Caenorhabditis elegans: one gene and its partner. Changing the gene in region 1 together with any one later gene gives a genetic interaction. Each region holds a gene or a part of one and is shown in the gene's direction. Other genes may lie near its edges. The genes, in order: plp-1 and mom-5.

Region 1 (8,218 bases):
TTTTTCAAGTTGAACCAATTTATTTCAGATGATTTTTGTGTAACTATTCGTCATCATTCTTTCTTGTGGTCATTTTGCAGTTAGTATGCAAATCGAAATGAAATGAAAGTGAAAATGTTTACTGGCTACCAGACAGAGACCGAGAGAAAAAATGTAAGAAAAGTACGGGAATGGGGAACCTGAATTTGACGAATTCTATCCACAAATAATATAATAGAATTCTACAAAATTTCAGAAGAAACTAGAATGGATGTATTTAGTCTTGTGAAATGGAAAATCGCAGAATATTAATACATATAGATTGTTTCTTCAAAATCGCTCTAGATAATATAAGCATGTAATACTCAAATAACCACTTTCCAATAAAAAAAAACGATGTAATATTCTCAAATCCAAAGCCTAACTATAAGAATAAAATTACAGTTGATTTTTACATCGAAAGATTTATAATGAATTTGCAAACAAAGGCCGAACTTAGACGGATGCACGGCTACAGAACGTTTTTCTTATCTTCACAATATATTTGCAAATAAATAGATAATTTTTCTCCACTTCACCTCACTCAGAAAGAAAAAAGATATTTCAACACTAAGTTTTCAAAATAATTTTATTTATAAATTCACATAAACCAAACGAATTTATATTTTAATAACTTGTAGAAAATTGATGCACCGAATATTACATTCCAACAGTTGTCATGCCAGATGCCCTTTTTGTTGTACCAACTGTTTTTGAACTTTTTGAAGCTTTTGTTGTCGTTTTCGCTGTGGTAGTAGTAGTTCTAGTTGTGCTGTAAATAAACAAAGTGTGAATTGAACTAAAACAATTAGCACATACGTTTTTGGAGGGATTTCCATCGTAGTTCCAACTGTTGTAACTCCGATTTGTTCATCTTTTTCTTCGTCTTCCCCTCGTTGCAGGAAATCCGTAATTGTTTTTCTTACTCGTTCATACTTCTTATCATCCACTGCATCAGCTTCAGTATAGATACAACCTCCAAGTTTCCCGACAAATGGGTACAAATCATAGAGTGTGAAATCGATACGATCCGAGTGTCCAACAACTTGTGATATTTCCATCAATTTTTCTCTGAAAACAATTTCAAATAACAACTCAAAATTTAAAATATTTACTAAATCTAAACATACTGTTTCCTGTCATCCTGGTAAATACAAGTTATGCAAAAGAATATGATGAACAAGCCGATAACGAAGCTGGCTAGCACAAATGGAAAAAGATTAAGGTACCAATTACCCCATTTTGGACCTGGAAAAAGAAGAGGATCAAGGTTAAACTTGATCGTAGTATGTGTCAAAGACACGCCAAACTTGTGCTCAAGCTTTGCTAACTTCTAAAACAAGTTAATATTTTTGGTCAAACTCGGTCTAGAACTGTCACAAAAAATGAATCACGCGTTTACACAATTGAATTCCATTAACAACTGAAACTTTGTAAGTTAACTTACCGTCACAATGAATTCCACCGTATTGTCTGAAACAGAGACATTCCACTCTTCCCCATTCAACCATACACTTTCCATAAGCACACGGATTATGCAAGTTGTATGCTGTTGTATCCGGTGGACTACGAAAAATGCAATCTTGAATTTGAACTCGATGTCTACTGATCATTGTGATATTTCCTGGCCGTTCGATGACACACTCAAATACTGTGTTGTTGAAATTTCGGGACACGTTTTTGATTTGTAGGAGGTTATTCATATAATCATAATTTGCTCTAAAATTATATTATTTAAAAAAACATAAAACTCAGCGCTGCATACTTGTCGTCTTGATCTAATGTCTCTTCACCTTTCGAATCTGGGTATCTGATCTTCCAATACATTTTTTGGCCCTAAATTTTCAATCTTAAATCAAAAATGTTTTAAAATGCTTACTTCTCCAGAATTTATATCTTCTAGTTTTGATTTGGAATCACATGATATGGAGGTTGGCCAACCAAGTGCCCAGTATTCTTGAGTATCTCTCACAATCAACGTATTAGGTTCCAGAGCTGAATTCTTATTGATTTTATGAGTGAAAATTATAAATTTAGAAATTGTGATATCGTACATAACTTCACAAGATTTTGGCATGCCTTCTTGAAGGCGCACGGATTTATTTAGATGGGTCACAGCGCGCAAAAATTACAAAAGAATACTATCATACACTTTTGCGCGCCGAGACCAATCTGAATCAATCCGTGCGCCTTTAAGAAGTCATGCCAAAATCTTGTGGAATTACAATACAGCAATTTCAGTTTTCTGAAACGTCATTCTAAACAGTCATTCAGATTATTCACGACAAAATGTACATTCCTGGTCCACGAAATGGCAATTTTACCTATTTTCTCCGGTGAATCAATCGAAAAGCAGTTGACAAGATTTGCGTAAATAAATAATTGCAAGTGAATTGTGAATTTCCTTGTTAGCTTCATTTCAATTGCACCGATAAATAGAGAAATAAATTAAATTGATCGGATTTTTGACGATTATGCATTTTGATGAAAAAAATATGTTACACGTTTCATGTTCCCACGTTTCAGAAGGTTATTTATTTATTAAACGTATATTTTGAATAATAGTGTTCAAATTTCTGAATTTTGCCGCGTATTTGTTTCCGTGTGAAATTGCGTCTCGGTGTTTGCACACTTTCGTAAGCAATCAAATTTTCTTGTGAGTTTTTAGCTTTTTTTCCTTTCTAAATCTTGTTTTTATCGTTTTATATAATGTATTTTCAATGAAAATTGAACTTAACATAATGAAAAATACTGTTGAACCAATTTATATTTATTCCTGCCATCATGTCTTCTTGTCAAGGTCACAAGATTTGATTCTTCAGTGACTTCTTCATCCTAATTTTTGATCTCTTTCCTGCTGTCACCGGGAATGATTTCTAATTATTTTGTCAATTCTATTTTAAAAAGAGCCATTTATAACTTCCGAAAGCAGTGAAAGTGATGCATATATTTCAGTGGGTAGCGACCCACACTCTCGGTGTCCCCTCGCTCTCGCTCAATATCGATTTTGCCTTGATTTATGCGAACCAGAAGCGCTCTTATTTCTTACCAGCTGTTGTGTTCGCAAACGTGTACGAGTGGCCTTGTCCAGTGGATAATTTTATCTTGAGAATGTTTCGTCAGATGATGCAAATATGTTTTAGAATGTTAAGTAACGTTTTTTATGGCTACACTTTATCTAATATGTAATTTTCTTTTTGTTCTCAATGGAATTATTATTATTTTAATTCAAATATTTTTTATTTGCAGACCAGTTGGTTCAAGGGGTGTCTTTTGTCACCATAGTCGTTTGTTCGAAAGGAAATTGTCTGGGTAAAGGATGTCGGACGGAAGTGTTGAAAGGGGAACCAAGCGTGCCGAGGATTCTCTGGCTACTCACCAGCTCACTGTTCAATACAAGCGATACTACATCGATGTCAATGAGAACACTCGTGGACGTTACATCAAGATTGCTGAGGTTGCTTCGAAACTAACTTCCCGTACTAATATTAGCATTTTTCAGTTGGGTACAAATTACAAGAGCCGTATTATTCTAAGCATCGTCGCTGCCAAGGCAATCGTGAGTGAGATTTCGAAGATGCTTGCCCTCATTGATGAACCATCAACTGGTGAACACGCTGTAAGTTGCAATTATTTAAAGAAGTGGCGTAACAATTTATACACGCTCTAGGCAAAAATGTTCTTTCTGATTTTTTTCAATTGAAAAGCTGATGAACTTTTTAGTGAAAACAAAAGTGGATTTCTAAATTGAATATACCTGCTTCAATGCCCATAATTTTATTGATATTTAATATAAAAATTAAAAAAAAATATATTAAAAACTTTTTTAATGCAATATTAAATTTCAGCCAAAGGAAAGCTCTCTCATCAAATCAGAGACTCTCAATGTCGACGGGAGAAAATTCTACGTCGATCTGAAGGAAAATGTTCGTGGTCGCTTTTTGCGCATTGCTCAGATGCCGATGAACCCACGTCAAACTCGCCAACAAATCGCCATTCCATCCGATGGAATCGCCGAAATTCATAAGGTGCTAACCGAATATTTGGCCAAGTTCGGAGAGGGACACGAACAGGAGAACACCAACACTCCAAAAATCACTGCTGAAAACAAATCGTTCCTTTTCCATTCCGGAAAGAACGATCGTGGAGAGTTTGTTCGCATCTCGGAAGTAATAATTTTGTGTCAAATAGAAGTTTATTCTAATTTTATATTCAGATCAAACTCAACAGCGGCTATCGTAACGCAATCACCGTTCCAATGTCCGCACTCGTCGATTTCCGCAAAGAGTTGGATAACATCATCGCCAACCAAGGAAAGTAGTGATCTACAAGTTTTCTCTGCAAAAAAAACAATCGTAATTGCATAACATCTATCGAACTCGAGAGTCTCCCAAAAAATCCCTCCAAATCTTTACTGCATTTGCATGTAAAGATTTTACCTATTTTTCTAAACTGCTGTGTTCCTGTATTTTCACTCTACCTGTTTCGTTTATTTATTTATTTAAGCATCAAGTTTATTGAACTCTAATAAATTCTCGGGAAATTCGTGTCTTAATTATTCTTGCCAGGGAAAGTTACGTTTCCTTATCGAACACCTGTTGCGAAACCAGAAAAGGGCGGGTCTGACTAAGTGAACAAATATTTCGTAATAACTTTCTTCCAACAGAAATTAAAACACGCAAAAAACGGCCAACTCACTAGCTGGAACGTGGAGCCATGGAGATGGATAAAATAACTCTGATTGTCGACATAGCTTCAAGAATATCGTATTCTGCATTTTCAAAAAGTCTTTTTCGTTCAAAATGGGCTTATTCTTCTCTAAAATTTCTTCCTTCATGTTTCCAAATATCGAATGTCGTACATTGATGCTCGGTTTAGATGGAGCCGGGAAAACGACTATTCTCTATAAGCTGAAGCTTAATGAGACAGTCAATACAATTCCAACCATTGGTTTGTTCACTTTTTAAATGTGGTCATACTTGAGTATTTGTTTGAAGGATTCAACGTGGAGACTGTTACCTTCCAAAAAATCACTCTCACTGTTTGGGATGTTGGAGGTCAGAAGAAAATTCGTGCTCTCTGGAAATACTACTTTCCAAATACCACAGTAATTATCAAGAGGAATTATACAACGAAAATTGTTTAATTTCAGACATTAGTGTTTGTGGTGGACAGTTCGGATATTGAGCGGATTCCCGAGGCAAAGGAGGAATTGTTCAGTTTGCTGGCCGAGCCAGAGCTTGCGGATTCTCATTTGCTTGTCTTTGCAAACAAGCAGGATATGCCGAATGCAAGATCACCAGCCGAGCTGACTCAGCTGCTTGATTTGGGTTCACTCAAGAATAGAGAGGTATATAGTTGTATTGTTTTGTAGACCTTATAATCTATAGGATATATATACCTAAAAGGAATGCCAAAATCTTGTGACATTATGATAATACAATTGGCTTTTCAGTGGTTCATCTGTGGTACAAACGCTCACTCTGGACAAGGTCTCTACGAAGGTCTGATGTGGGTCAAGAAGCAGATGAAGACATAAGGATTGCTAAATGATTTCATTTCTTTTCATAAGAAATTGAATAAAATATTGAAAAGTGTTATTCATAACTGAATTCTTGTGGAAGTTTGAATTAAGGAAAAGATAATTAGAGTTAAATAATTAATCACAGGTTGAAAAAACAATCATAAACAAGTTCGACGGTTGTAAAGACGACTAGAATTGTTACAGTTAAAATGTATTGAAAACATTCGAGAATTTTCAGCAACTGTATTGATCATTGCTTCGTAGTCACTTCCAGGTTCTGATCCTTCTCCGCTACAGAACATCTGAAAAATTGATGGTTTAAAATGAATTACTGAAAGATGGTACCGTAGAAAAAGTGAGCATTAGAGATCTCATACTATCAGTTGAATCGAATGCTGGAAGCGTCTTCTCGTGATGAATATGATGATCATTTTGCCATTTTGCATAAGAATACAATGCACTTTTAAATGCATCTGCTAATTCAATAGTTGCTAAAAGTTCAGGTTCAATGTTTGGTGATCTCTGTCGGTTTGCATCCAGGAATCCACGGAATACGTTGTCAAGACATTCCAGTTGAGACGTTTTATCTAAGCCTTGCCAAAAAACTTTTGAAATCATTTGAAGCGTGGTTATTCCAAGACTTGAATAGATACCATACATAGGAACTTCATCACCAGGTAAATAAATTGGAGGTTCAATGAATGCAAGTGGAATCACTATTGCTCCAACATTAGAATTATAAAGCATTGTTGGATCACTTATTGGGAAAGTCGTTGTGTCGTCACTAAAAGTACTTGTATTAGGAATTTTAAGTTCGCCTCGCGAAGTTTGATATTTAGTTTGTCAGAATGAACATGTTTTTTGAAATTAAGATCTCCTGCTAGCTACAGTACCTATACGATTTAACCATACACTTAAAATAAATCAGCACACACGTAATGAACTTCTTATGTATAGCTATATGGTACTGTTTGCCTGCCTGCCTATGTAACAGCCTACAACCTATTTTCTGAATTTATCATTTCCTATTTTAAACGGAGTTGTTCAAAATTTAATTGAAACAATTTTTACAGCTCGCAGATATAACACAAGACATGCCTATTTGTGCAGGACCATTTCCGATGTTCAATTTAATTTAATTGTATACAAATTCTCAAATGTCGTTTTATGATTCGAATTTTAATGTTAATATTAAAACACTTACTTGTCCAAATATGTTCCAATCTGCGACATAGTATAATCTCTTTCAGCTTTTCCAACTCTTATCATTGAATCAAAATAGTCTGTTTCATTAAGTGACACCTGTGAAACTGGCTTCCAAATGAGTTCCTCATTTTGTAAACGTCTCGGGAATCCAACATAAAAACCAAGACGGTTTATATTTGATAAATATTGAAGAGGAGTGCTACGATGGACGGAGAGAAAATCTATCTTAAGATTTTGAAGGAATTCTTGAATTTTTGGAAGATCAATTGTTTGTGATGCTTTGTCCACATACATTTTTCTTCCAATTTCGAAAGATGAAATTTGATCGACACATTCGCGCCATCTGGAGAGAAATTTTTTGTAATTAATTTCAAATTTAATACAAACAAAAAAATGAACGAACCCATACTGATCTCTTGGAGAATATGAATATTGTTTCAGATTCCAGACAGTCACAGTTAATAAATAATTTGCAACAGCTTGGCGACTAGTTCTGAATTTGAAATAAAATCTATCTATCAATAGTTTGTATTCCCTTACTGTGCCATGATATCCGAAAGTCTTGCAAAATAATCATAATCCTGAATAGATAACATGTCAGTTTCAGTCCATCTGTATGTGTTTGAAAGTTGTGCATCTAGGAATTCTCGAAGATAGAGTTGAGGTAATGCTTGAAACATTTCTCCAATTGTCATATACGTCGTATTAGGTGTGAGACTAGCTGATTGTCTAGCAGAAATATAAAGATCAACCATCAGTCGAGCTACCTCGTCCAGTTGACTTTGAACATCTCGAGGATCACGAAGTAAACTATCTCGAGCAAACGCGCTGAGCAAATTCTGAAAAAAAAATTCTGCAAAGTTAAACATTTTGAAAAGATAATGACAGTCTGATTCACTAAAAATGAGCTAAATTTGAAGTTGTTTCTATTCCAGTCCGTCCGTCACTTCTCAATCACCTTCCACCGAGTGGATTATTTTTTCTAGATGTTGAAAATATCTTTTCGGCATGGATGAACTTTATTTTTGAAAAATACCTGTCTCAATGACAATTGCAGAAGAGGTTCAAACTCTGTAGGACTTGGCCTTGCAAGATCAATCAGATCTCTTTCGATTAGTCCAACTATTGGTGTCAAATCGGGTGGTTTTATCTTAAATCTCATTTCGTTCAAATATCAAGTTTTGAAATTTTCATACCTGTAAAATAATCTTGCTTCTATCTTGTGGATGTACATCTCTATCATATACAATTAAATTATAGCGTCCTGCATACCAATCCAACATTCCCGCATGTCGTTCCCAACTGAAACCGCCTAATTCATCATTAAATATATCTTACTTTGGTATGAAGGTGGAGAATCATTTGATTGTTTGTTCAATAATTAGTCCCTCTTTTCCCCCTCGTCCTTGGCCCGCAAGATTAGCGGCTCTTCGCCACTGACACGTGTGTCAATGTTTGCGGTACTGACCA
Region 2 (11,307 bases), on another chromosome or scaffold:
ATATCACATCATTATTTTCAATAGATGCATTGATTTACCCGATCGAAAATCCCCAAATAACTGAAGTGAGTGACAACAAATCGGTATAAAAAAGAATTGAAGACGATATCAAAATTGGAAGCATTCCGACGATTGATGCAGTCAGCCATACATCTTGCTGCAAATCGGTATTTTTCAAATAAATCTTCAAAGTTGGAATTCTTACTCTAACGAACATTCTCCGAAAACGGCAAAATGCTGGTATAGCGAAAAATAGAAGAATCGAGTTAGCGTATCTTTCATTTCCACCACATAATGGCATTGAAATAACATAAAGTGCCGGTGGAGTTGTAATTAATGGATTCCAGCTGTAATTTCCTGAGCAATATGATCTAGTTTGAGCTGAAAATTAGGGAAATTGTAGACAGAATCTCGACAATTGTGTCTCACTAATGTGGAAGATCTCATCCATATACGGCTCTGGAACATAGTGGTAGACAATTGTTGTCAGCAGAACGTGAATGCAAGAAAACGAAGCACCAAGTAGAAAATCGCCTAAACTTGAGAAAATTGGTTAAATGAATTTTTAACTCCAGCAAATATTCATTCACTTTTCCTGGATATTGCGGCAAATGGCAGGCTTATTCGGGGCGGTTTCGATTTTGTCATCTGAAAGTAAATAAATTGTTCTTCAGTATATTTATTTATTTATTTTCTATTAGATTTAAAAATATATTGAAAATAAAAGCTTAAAGCATTAAATTCATTGAAATCTTTCAGTTAAAAAATCTGTCGTAAATCCGCAAGCACCTAATCTGACGACAACTTGCGTACAGGCGGGAGAGCGAAAACATTTAATTTTCGAGACTCTCGATTTTTTCTTTTCAAGGTCAACTCATGTTTTTTGCTTTTCCACGTTTTCTTTCCTTTTCTCGTTTCTTCGATTGTTCTTAAATTCTGAGGATGATGTCCCTGTGGGACATGTCAAGAGATAGTTTTCGACATGACACTCCATTGTGGAGCTAAAGCACACGAAATGTTAAGGAGTCTTGGCACTTGTCACGGGGAGAATGTCTCAGAAGGAAGTTTGAGCGAAATTTTGATGTTAGTTAGGATCTGCAAAAGAATTATCTTTGAAAACGATATGTTGTGGTAGTTTTCCGACACTGGGATTTTGGCCCGAATATCGTTCCCGTTCCATAAAGAACTTTAATTATTTTTGTCTGATAGAATTAAAATCTCTCCGTTGCACATGATTAATGGAAAAATGTAATGGACCGATAAGAAAATGAGAATGGATGATTGTATACCCAATTGAAATGCAATTCGGCAGAACATACAATGAAACAAGAGCCATCACGTCTTCCATCACTCCCTCTCCAAAAGTGCTAATTCGCAATTGTTCATGAATAAATAGAAAGAAGAGTCTTTTCCGTCTTCTCTTCTCCATCCATCTATCGTCTCCGAATTAGGCCCCCACACATTGAGAAGGGCTCAAGAGACATCGGAGCACTCCATCATTCGGCCAGTCCTCTTCGAAACAACACAAAACCGATCCATCTAACACCTCGCTCTCTTCCTTGCCGTCAGTTCGCTCCCTCATTGATTACTTTTTGTTCTTCTTCTTCTTCGTTGTTCGATCCCGCCCCCTATTTTCCCTCTTCTTTTTCTTTTCGTGCGTGTTGCAAACACCCCATTCACCTTGATTTATGGCGCCGCCTCACCCACTGAGACTCCGAGTGAAAACTCTTGAAGAAATAGACACAGATACGTTATTGCTATTCGCGGGTGTTTTATGTGTTTTATGTCACTCAATGAGTCTTCTTCATGGGATGTTCGTTTTTTTAGTGATTGGTGGAACTTGATTGATCTATTGATAAATATATCCTCCAATTGGTCTAGGATCTAGAGAGTTTTATAACTTTTCTCGTTCATTCTGTCATATTCTGATTTGCTATATAACGCCTATCAAAATGAGAATTGAACACAAGTTCTGATTTTTCTTTGAAAAAAAAGGCTCATCTTTTCTATTTAACCAAAAATTTTCCATCTGACCGCCCATCCTCATTTTCACCATTTTCTTTAGTTTTTTTTTCGGTCAATAAGCAGGTGGGAACCATCTGGGTTCATCGCCATCAAATCATCACGTTTGTTGCATCGCAATGTCTATTTCTCTTTTTATGATCAATTTGGCCATAATGCGACACATTTAAGAGCCCTTCAATGATCTATTGGTGGCTATTCATGTCGATGGTTTTTAAAGGATCAGCTGGAACAACGAACATCTCTTCTTGGCTACGTTTACTTCATTTTTTTACAACCATCAAAAACTACCTGATATTGAAACGAGAAATCATCCAAATTGCTCCCATCGCGAACATTTTCGCATTCCCCCTTCTTATCACCATCTTGTCTGAACCTCTTCTTCTTTTCCACTATTTCCAATTCCGCGTCCATTTTTCATTTCCGTTATCAATCACAAATCACTCGTTTGCTCCATTTTCTTCTGGTCACAAGCTCCCAGTTGTGTTGCTCTCGTCAGTTCTTTTTCATCGAAACGACGGGCCTATTTGTTCATTTGATTTGATTCGGGAATTGAATTTGACACCCATCTCCGGCACGAGACGTGTATGTTGGCTCTTCACATTGCGAAACTCGGCCTCCCAGTTCGGATGTTGGAAAAGTTTATTCAAAAGTTCAAATAATATGTTTATGTGCTCCTCGAGTTCGTCGATATTAAATTTCTGGCATCTTTTTTTGAATTTCGAAAACAATTAAATTATTTATATAATTTTCAGGCTCGATTCTGCGATTTTTAGCAAAAAATACGGTACCTCTCGACGCGCCAAATTTTTGATAAATGTAGAAAGCTGTGCGCCTTGACAGAGTACTGTAACTTTAAACTTTGCTGCGGAATTTCCATCGATTTTTTATAGTTTTCCGATAGAAAATATTGATTTATTAAATAACTTGATTAAAACAATGAAAATCCATGAATTTACCTATATAAAATCAAAACAATCCGCAGCAATGCGAGTTACAGTACTCCTTGAAGGCGCAAACAAAACTTTATCGTGTCGAGACCTGGTACCGTATTTTTGGTGCAATATTTTGCGTCCTTTTGCTTAAGAATATCGTTGATTTCAGACAATTTGTTTTAAATGTTTTCTTTGCTTTCTTCAACTTAAATATTTAAAAACTAAAAACTAATTTCCGAAATGCCAAAAAATTCTACCAGTTAGGTCATTGCTCTTATCTCTTCTACAGATCGATCGTCCCCGTTTTTCTCAATTCGATTCTCATCTATATTTTCCTCAATTCTCTCCAAACAATAACAAGAATATTTTCGAAATGAATCACTGTTTGAAAATTCTTGAATCCTTCCTCCCTCATCCGTTTGCATGTTCATTGCCCATTTGACACTCGAGCAGCAGGTGGCCTGTGTCTCTTCACTCTTTTTCGATCTTTTCATTAGGTCAGTGCTCATCATCATCATTAATTACTCTCGAATTCCGAGCCGTAATTATTCTTTACTGTGTGTGTGTGCTCCGTTCTCTCGGAAGTTGCGTAACGAGAGAGTATTACAAAAAAGAGATTAGAGGCATGTTGTACAGTAATCTAAAGATTAGATTCACTTAGATACCGAAATCTACTATTCTTTGTCTTTCTTTGCCACGTTTCTCACTATAATTTCACGATTCATTGATTCGATTTAGCACTTGGAACCAATGTCAACATTACACCATTTCACTTTTTTTGAAAATTCAATGTTTTCTCATCAATTGAAGGTCAATTTATGGACCGAGTCTTCTATTTTGAATTCCAATAAAACCTTCCAAAAAATGTTTATAGAAAATGTTTCGAAGAGAAATCCCTAAATTTAGCCAAAATTTTTAATGTGTCATCTTTGCCAACTGCCGGAAAGTATTTGTGTTGGTTTTCTGATATTTCGAGAAAAAAAAAGATTTTTCGTAAAATATCTAAAATTGTTGGCCATTTTCCTCCGTTTAGAAGAATTTTTTGAAAATGTTTATCCACATCAACAACTCATTAAAAATTTCACTTTTTGTTAATTTTCTAAACATTTTTTTTCGATTTTTTCTGAAAAAGATTTTAGCTATTTACTTAAGTTCGGTTTTTTTTCCAAATTTTGCCAAAAATCATTTTTCTAGAATTTTGTTCTCTCCATTTCACAAACTATTAACTAAATAATGTTGAACTTCTTCTATACATATAACCAAAAAAACTATTTCTTTAATAATTTTTTATATTTTCAGACGAATCCTGCTATGAACTAACACTTGTCAATCTGAAATCTCTTCAAAACTATCAATTACAATGCATCGACATATTCTGATATTATTTTTATTCGGATGCTTATCAGCTGATCAACGACTCTCATCAACTTCAATTTCATCGATGAATGGATTCTCAACAACTCGAAAATGTGAACATATTACAATTCCAATGTGCAAAAATCTGGATTACAATCAAACAGTATTTCCAAATCTTCTCGGACATACAACACAATCTGAAGCTGGTCCAGCAATTGCGCAATTCAATCCATTAATTAAAGTTAAATGCTCAGAAGATATTCGTCTCTTTCTTTGTACTGTCTATGCACCTGTCTGTACAGTACTCGAAAAACCAATTCAACCATGTCGAGAATTGTGTTTATCTGCAAAAAATGGATGCGAGTCATTAATGAAAAAGTTTGGATTTCAATGGCCAGATCAATTGGATTGTAACAAATTCCCAGTAACTGATTTGTGTGTTGGCAAGAATTCCAGCGAGTCGAGCAACTCTAAAAAGTGGGTTTTCTGCATAATTTTATGAATAAGAATTTATAATTGATATATATTTACAACAAAAATTTCAAAAGTACCCAAAACATGAATTAAAGTTTAAATTTACGGGAACCGTTCTAGAATCCTTTTTTTAAATACAGCGAGAAATTAAATTGTAAATTCAGTTAAAATCATCGGTTTTGCATTTAAAGAAAAATAATAATAAATTCAGAATGGCCTGCAAAGACCGAACCTCGTAAGAGTTTTCAAAAAAAAAAAGCTCTCTGAAAATTAAATTTACGGCCGCTGTGATACTGACAAGTTTGGCTGAATTTAAGTATTATTCCGAATTTTTGAGCCCCATAAAAACTCCTACTCCAAAGCGTCAAATAGTTTTTTATCAAAGTTTTTGAATTTAGAAATTTTCCGAAAAAAATGTACATCGAGATTTCTAAATTCTTTGTTTTATCGAACAATAAAACAAGTTTCCGTAGATCGAAATATAAAATATTTCAAGTTACAGAAGTAGTAATGACGTCACATTCGGTGTTTCAACAATTGCCAACGAAGTTGTCCTTTCTCCAAAAAAATGCCCTCATCATATGCATACAACAAGCGGATCTCATTTTTCATTGCCTCTTCTCAGTGGACGCCTTCCTGAATGTTCATTAACATGTGAAGCTGACAATCAAGTACCAATGATGTTTGATGGACGTGTTCGACGAATTCTTCGAATCTGGACAGCAGCATGGTCTGTGGCATGTTTCGTGTGCTCTTTATTCACTCTTGTCACATTTCTTGTTGATTTATCACGATTCGCGTATCCAGTTCGACCGATTTTGTATCTCGCGTTCTGTTATCTAGCAATTTCTACGGTTTATATGATAGGTGAGTTGAATTTTCTGTTTTTTTTAAATCAGATTTTTTAGAAACTAAAAATGTATTTCTACAGGCGTAGTCGGTGAAGATGGATTCGCTTGTGGAACGTATGGATCTACTCCAACAACACTTGTTACGCAAGGAGGAGAAAATGTTGGATGTAGTGCTCTTGCTGTTGTTCATTACTTTTTCTTCATGTCAAGTTGTGCGTGGTGAGTTTTTTCGTTAATTTTTGTATTTTAACGAAAAAAGTACCGTTTTTTGTACCACAAATAGAAAACTGGTTTTGAAAATGTGCATTCGAAAAAAAATCGGCATGTTTTTCTTTTGTTCAAACACATTTTTCAACAAAAAAACGACAACTGAAACATTTTTTTTTTAAAGAACTTTTTGAATATTTTGATAAAAATTTTAATTTTTATAATTTCGAGTGTAATTTTTCAGAAAAAAATTACATTTATGATTTTCGACAATTTTCAGTAACAAAAATCTAAAAAATATTTTTTTTAAACCAAATTTTAAATGAAAAAAACCCCGTTTCCGGAAAATCGGAAAATCAAAAAAAAAATTCAATTTTTATCAAATTTTGTTCATGAAAAAAATGTATTTTTTCTTCAAACAAAAAAAAAACAAAAATCGAAAATTTTTGTTTTCATTGAAAAATCGAAAATCGACACCCAAATTTTTAATCTTGATTTAAACAGCTATCAGCCTTTTTAAAATGATATTTTATATACTAAGTATTCTTTCAGGTGGCTTGTACTGTGTCTAGCCTGGTTCCTGGCGGCAAATCTGAAATGGGGAGCTGAATCAATTGCTGCTCTGTCACCATACTTCCACGCAATGTGCTGGGGAGTTCCAGCAGTTCTCTCGGTTACTGTACTAGTGACAAATTCTGTCGATGGAGATGTATTTACTGGAATCTGTTCAGTTGGAAATTTGAATCCCTCTGCTCTCGTCTATTTCTTTTTCACTCCGATCGTTGTATCGTTGGGTTAGTTTTTTTGTGAATATTATGGTGGGGGAAGACCGAAATTGAATTCGTTTCGTTGTGTGTTCCATCGTTATTTATCTTCGTTTTCTTCTCAGAAATGTTCTATTTGCAGCACTCGGAGCAGTTTTACTCGTTTGTGGAATTTGGTCAATGATCCGTATTCGAAGTTATATTAAACTTCAACACGCCGATGTTGAGAGGAATATCAGTAAATTGGAGAAATTAATGTTGAGGTTCGATATTTCAAATTTTTGAAAATCTTCAAAAGTACCTGAGCTTTTTTAATCAGAAAAGAAATACTTTCGATTTTTGGAAAACGAAAAATTGGAAAAACATGTACAGAAAAAGACGAGCAAACTAGGTTTACTGATGTAGATATATTGATTTCAGTTTGGAAAGTTGATAAATTATTCTAAAACCCGAGAATTCCCTGGAAATCATTTTTTATTTAAAATTCCAAAATTTCAGAAAAAAAAAACGAAAAAATTGGATTTCCTAAGAACCGAACAAAATAAGAAAAACTTAAGAATCGCTTTTCTGATATTCGTTTCATATTATCATACAAATATTATATTTTCAGAATCGGTGCCTTCGCCATAATGTACTCTCTACCAACTGCAATGAATGCTGCAATTATGTGGTATCAGGCAGTAAATATGCCTGCCTGGCTTGAAGGATGGCTTCATCATCGATGTGTTCGACTTCAAGATCGAGAATTATTCGGTTTCACGTATCCAGTTGATGATTGTCCGATGGATCCGAAAGTTGCAGCTCCGGAGATTATTGTTTTTCTTTTAAAGTTAGTTTGAAACTGTGAATCAGTTAAATTTCAATCTGTATAATCTAAATTTGATTTTCTGATTTTTGCGCCAAAAATGCGACATCCGGTTTCGACAAGACGAATGTTTGTTAAATGCAAAAATGTATACGCCTTTAAAGAATACTGTAGTTTCAAACTCTTGTTGCTGCAGAATTTTCATCGCTTCTTGATAAAAAATATTCTTATTTAAATATTAAGCAATTCAAACACAAAAAGCCTAACATAAGAAAAACTATTCATGAAAAATCGATGTAAATTCCGCAGCAACGCGACTTCGAAGTTACAGTACTCTTTAAAGGCGCATATTCGACAAAATTGGATCGTGCCGAGACTGCATAATTTCGCGTCTAGTTAATATGAATTATTTATCTTGATTCGAAACCCCTAAATGTTCTTATTTTCAGATATGTGTCTCAATTGGTTGTTGGTATAACCTGTGCCATTTGGGTTGTCTCTTCAAAAACTCTTTCAAGTTATCACAAGGCTTACCTGGCACTCTCTTCGAGGTCACCTACTGTACCTGCTCATGTTGATCAGGTTAATATGAGGTGATAGTCTCTTCTTGTCATTTTATCCTATTTATATGTATTCTCATTCCTTTTCTCACTTTTTTCCCAACCAACTCAAATGTTTCTTTTTCTTCATTCTTTGTAACTTTTCTGACTTATTCTTATGCTCTCTCTTGCTCATCGGACGGCGCCCATCGGTCCCCTTCCTCTCACAGAATCATTCCCCAGAGCATGATCCATCTCTGTGTCTACACTCTCCTCGTCTACTCGTTGTCTCTCAATGCTTCCTGATTTGAGTTGCGACGAGCACATTTCTAAGAACCGGCTCCCAAAGATGCGCTCTTACATAGCAAAAGAGAGACAACGAGTGGAAAAGATGGTGAAAAATGATATTTTTGAGTGGAATTACATTGAAATCTGACAAAAAGGGCAGAAAGAAGCTTGAGAAAAGTCAAAAAAGAACCCCCTTCAATTCAGGTTACTGTAGATCAGTTCTCTCGCTGCCATTTTTCATGTATCTCGTTTATTCATGTTCTTAAGTTCTGTTGTCACCAGCTCCAGCACAAGGTTCACACACTTTTTTTCACACTTTGAGCACTCCAATCAGGGTAAAACCACTTTCATCCCAGTCTTTGTCTCGAATTTAGAGTTATGAATTTATTACTCATTATTTATGCGGTTGCTTATTTTTCTTCATCCTCAATTTCTTTTTCATCGTATATTCATATATAAATTATACATTATTATTATTGTTTAATTTGTGACACGGCGATTGAAAGAACCTAAAATAAGGATTGCAAAGAAAAACGGATGGTTATGAACTAATAATAAAAGTCATGGAAATCCTTGAGAATTGATTTTGAAAGACAACAAGCGAAACAGACTCCGACCAATTGAATTGCTGCCAAAACTGCACAAATTCCGCCGACCATTGCTCCATTCTTGAGCACCCATTCTGCAATTAAAAAAACAATCAAATTTCCGATAAGCCCAATCATGCTCTATTGAGAAAGTGCAACAGAGCACACTTTGATCTTCTTGGAAAAAAAAGACTAACGTTCGACACTGTGAATGCATCCGGGCTCAAAGAGTGGAGCATTCTCTCGAGCACATCCCTCGATTTCTTCAATGCAACATGAATCAGGAATTGTTGTGAATGTGAGCCAATCGGATGAATTTGTTACTCCACAACATTCAAACAACTAAAATTGAAATTAATTTGAATTTTAAATGCTGTAGTTCTACTTTAATTTTTTTTTTGGAAGTTTTGCTAAATTAAAGAAAAACTTCATGAAAAATACAGGTAAAAAGTAAATAAGTTTTCGAATCAAAATTGAATATTACGGGAACCTGAGAACTTGACGCGCAAATATCTCGTAGCGAAAACTACAGTAATTCTTTAAATAGCTACTGTAGCGCTTGTGTCGATTTACGGGCTCGATTTTAAGATAATTTATTTAAATTGAGCCAGTAAATCGACACCAGTGATACAGTAGTCATTCAAAGAAATACTGTAGTTTTCGCTCTGAGATATTTTGCGCGTCAAATATGTTGGTTCTCAAAATTTTGTGTTTCAGTAATATTTTAGTCAGAAAATTTTTAAAAAAAGTATTTTTTTTCGAAATTACCCATTTTTAAATTAATTACTAATACGAGAATTTTGAAAAAAACAGCTCTAAAATGTGATGAATTTTTTTAAAATTTTTTTCTGAATTGAAAAAAGTTTATTTAATTTTTTTGAAATTTTGAGAGATTCTGAATAGACTATTTTTAACATTTTAATTAAATTTAAAGCAAATAACGTATTCTTCCCGAAAAAAATTTTTGACTGAAAATTTCTCATTAAAAAATTCAAACGTTTTCCAGAAAACATGTCAAAACAACATTCCTAAACCACAATTCTAAAATTTTCAGATTCGATTTTTTTTTGTAGTGACACATTTAAATGATCTGACGCTACCCAAATTCCAAAACTAAAGCACATTTATCCCGTAAAAAGCTCGAAGGATGATTTTTGGCACCTAAAATAATCTATTTTCAGATCATAAATCTACGGGGGATTATGTAGATACAATTGGCATTTTCAAACAAAAAAGTGCGAAGGTCACACTCATTTAACTAATCTCATCAGTAATCCACGTGGCTTATTCACATGACGCACGTGGTGTCAGGATGTCCCATTACGGTTTGACCTACAAAAAATGCGGGAATTTTTCGCCCAAAAAATTGTGACGTCAGCACGTTCTTAACCATGCAAAATCAGCTGAGAACTCTGCGTCTCTTCTCCCGCATTTTTTGTAGATCAACGTAGATCAAACTGAAATAGGACACTCTGACACCACGTGATGACGTTTCACTAACCTGATGTGTCTTATCCCATGCACTCTCAACTCCTCGACTCTCGTGATATCGTACCATACCCGTCTGAAAAAATATTATTTTTCTGGAAATTTTATTTTGTTTAAAAAAAGGAAAACTTGGTTCAGAGCTTCTTAAAAATTAAATTAGTTTAATTGATAACTTCAGTTTTCAGAGATTTTTTTAAAGTTTTGATTATGTTGTTATTTTTATCAAATTACAATAATAAGCTTTTTGCATTATTTTCGATAAAATTATTTGTCGGGCGCTGTAAGCCTTTAAAATATACCTGAAGCTGATTACCAATTCCAAGTCTGAAACTATCATGCAATGCATATCCGATAATGACTGCTGCTATTTCACACGTCTGTAATGATTTATTCCGTTCAAAATGAAATAATTCGTCCAGAACTCACGATAAGAAGTGCAAGAAGAACTGCAAAAGAGACGGTTAGACAATAATTCTCACGAATTGCTCCACAACATCCTAGAAATCCGAGAAGAGTACACAAAGATCCGATCACGAGTAAGAGAATCGGTGTGGCTAACCTGGAAATTTGCAAAGGCGTTCTTTTCTACTTTTAGGTAGCCCAAGATGTAATTTTTCTGGAATAATTATCGTTATTTCATAGTTTTCTGAAGCACGCATTCAAAGGCTCACGGATTTATATGAGTGGGTCTCGCAGCGAGGAAATGTCTATGATAACACTTTTAGGAATTTAGGTGCCCGTTTTTCCTACTTTGGAAAATTATGAACAATTTTCTCACAATCAGTTCTTCTTCTGTAGTTTTGCTAATAGTAAGACTATCAATATTATGATTTTGATTCATATTTGGCAGCAAAAGAACATCTGTCGAGACACATCTAATTGTAAATAAAATCCGTGTACCAAAATGGCGAAGTTATGATACCGAAAAGTTAACTCTTCATAAAGGCGGTCTCGCCACGAAATACCTTGACAATTTTTCGAATTGAAAAAA

The links.
Region 2: of plp-1 (region 1) and mom-5, changing one enhances a phenotype caused by changing the other (phenotypic enhancement), as found in Caenorhabditis elegans (one study listed by BioGRID).

The regions. Positions count from the first base shown.
Region 1 is NC_003282.8:7,630,093-7,638,310, forward strand, and holds plp-1 (Transcriptional activator plp-1), read left to right. Parts: upstream 1-3,267; 5' UTR 3,268-3,337; coding exon 3,338-3,475; intron 3,476-3,520; coding exon 3,521-3,637; intron 3,638-3,866; coding exon 3,867-4,187; intron 4,188-4,234; coding exon 4,235-4,339; 3' UTR 4,340-4,561; downstream 4,562-8,218. Other genes in the region: F45E4.6 (EGF-like domain-containing protein), read right to left, coding at 679-790, 838-1,089, 1,149-1,266, 1,466-1,737, 1,784-1,854, 1,898-2,013, 2,343-2,436; warf-1 (ADP-ribosylation factor 1-like 1), read left to right, coding at 4,821-4,968, 5,016-5,125, 5,171-5,368, 5,474-5,557; nep-16 (Peptidase M13 N-terminal domain-containing protein), read right to left, coding at 5,701-5,844, 5,888-6,326, 6,747-7,091, 7,152-7,241, 7,289-7,587, 7,785-7,898, 7,945-8,050. UniProt on the Caenorhabditis elegans protein: Probable transcription activator. Binds telomeric DNA containing repeats of the sequence, 5'-TTAGGC-3'. Binds to end-1 promoter, activating end-1 expression, which is required for endoderm specification during embryonic development.
Region 2 is NC_003279.8:9,961,324-9,972,630, forward strand, and holds mom-5 (Protein mom-5), read left to right. Parts: upstream 1-4,256; 5' UTR 4,257-4,317; coding exon 4,318-4,790; intron 4,791-5,283; coding exon 5,284-5,654; intron 5,655-5,718; coding exon 5,719-5,857; intron 5,858-6,397; coding exon 6,398-6,639; intron 6,640-6,751; coding exon 6,752-6,872; intron 6,873-7,219; coding exon 7,220-7,438; intron 7,439-7,863; coding exon 7,864-8,011; 3' UTR 8,012-8,714; downstream 8,715-11,307. Other genes in the region: algn-10 (Dol-P-Glc:Glc(2)Man(9)GlcNAc(2)-PP-Dol alpha-1,2-glucosyltransferase), read right to left, coding at 39-157, 206-381, 430-534, 591-648; tsp-7 (Tetraspanin), read right to left, coding at 8,790-8,923, 9,026-9,170, 10,330-10,392, 10,616-10,693, 10,743-10,875. UniProt on the Caenorhabditis elegans protein: Receptor for Wnt proteins.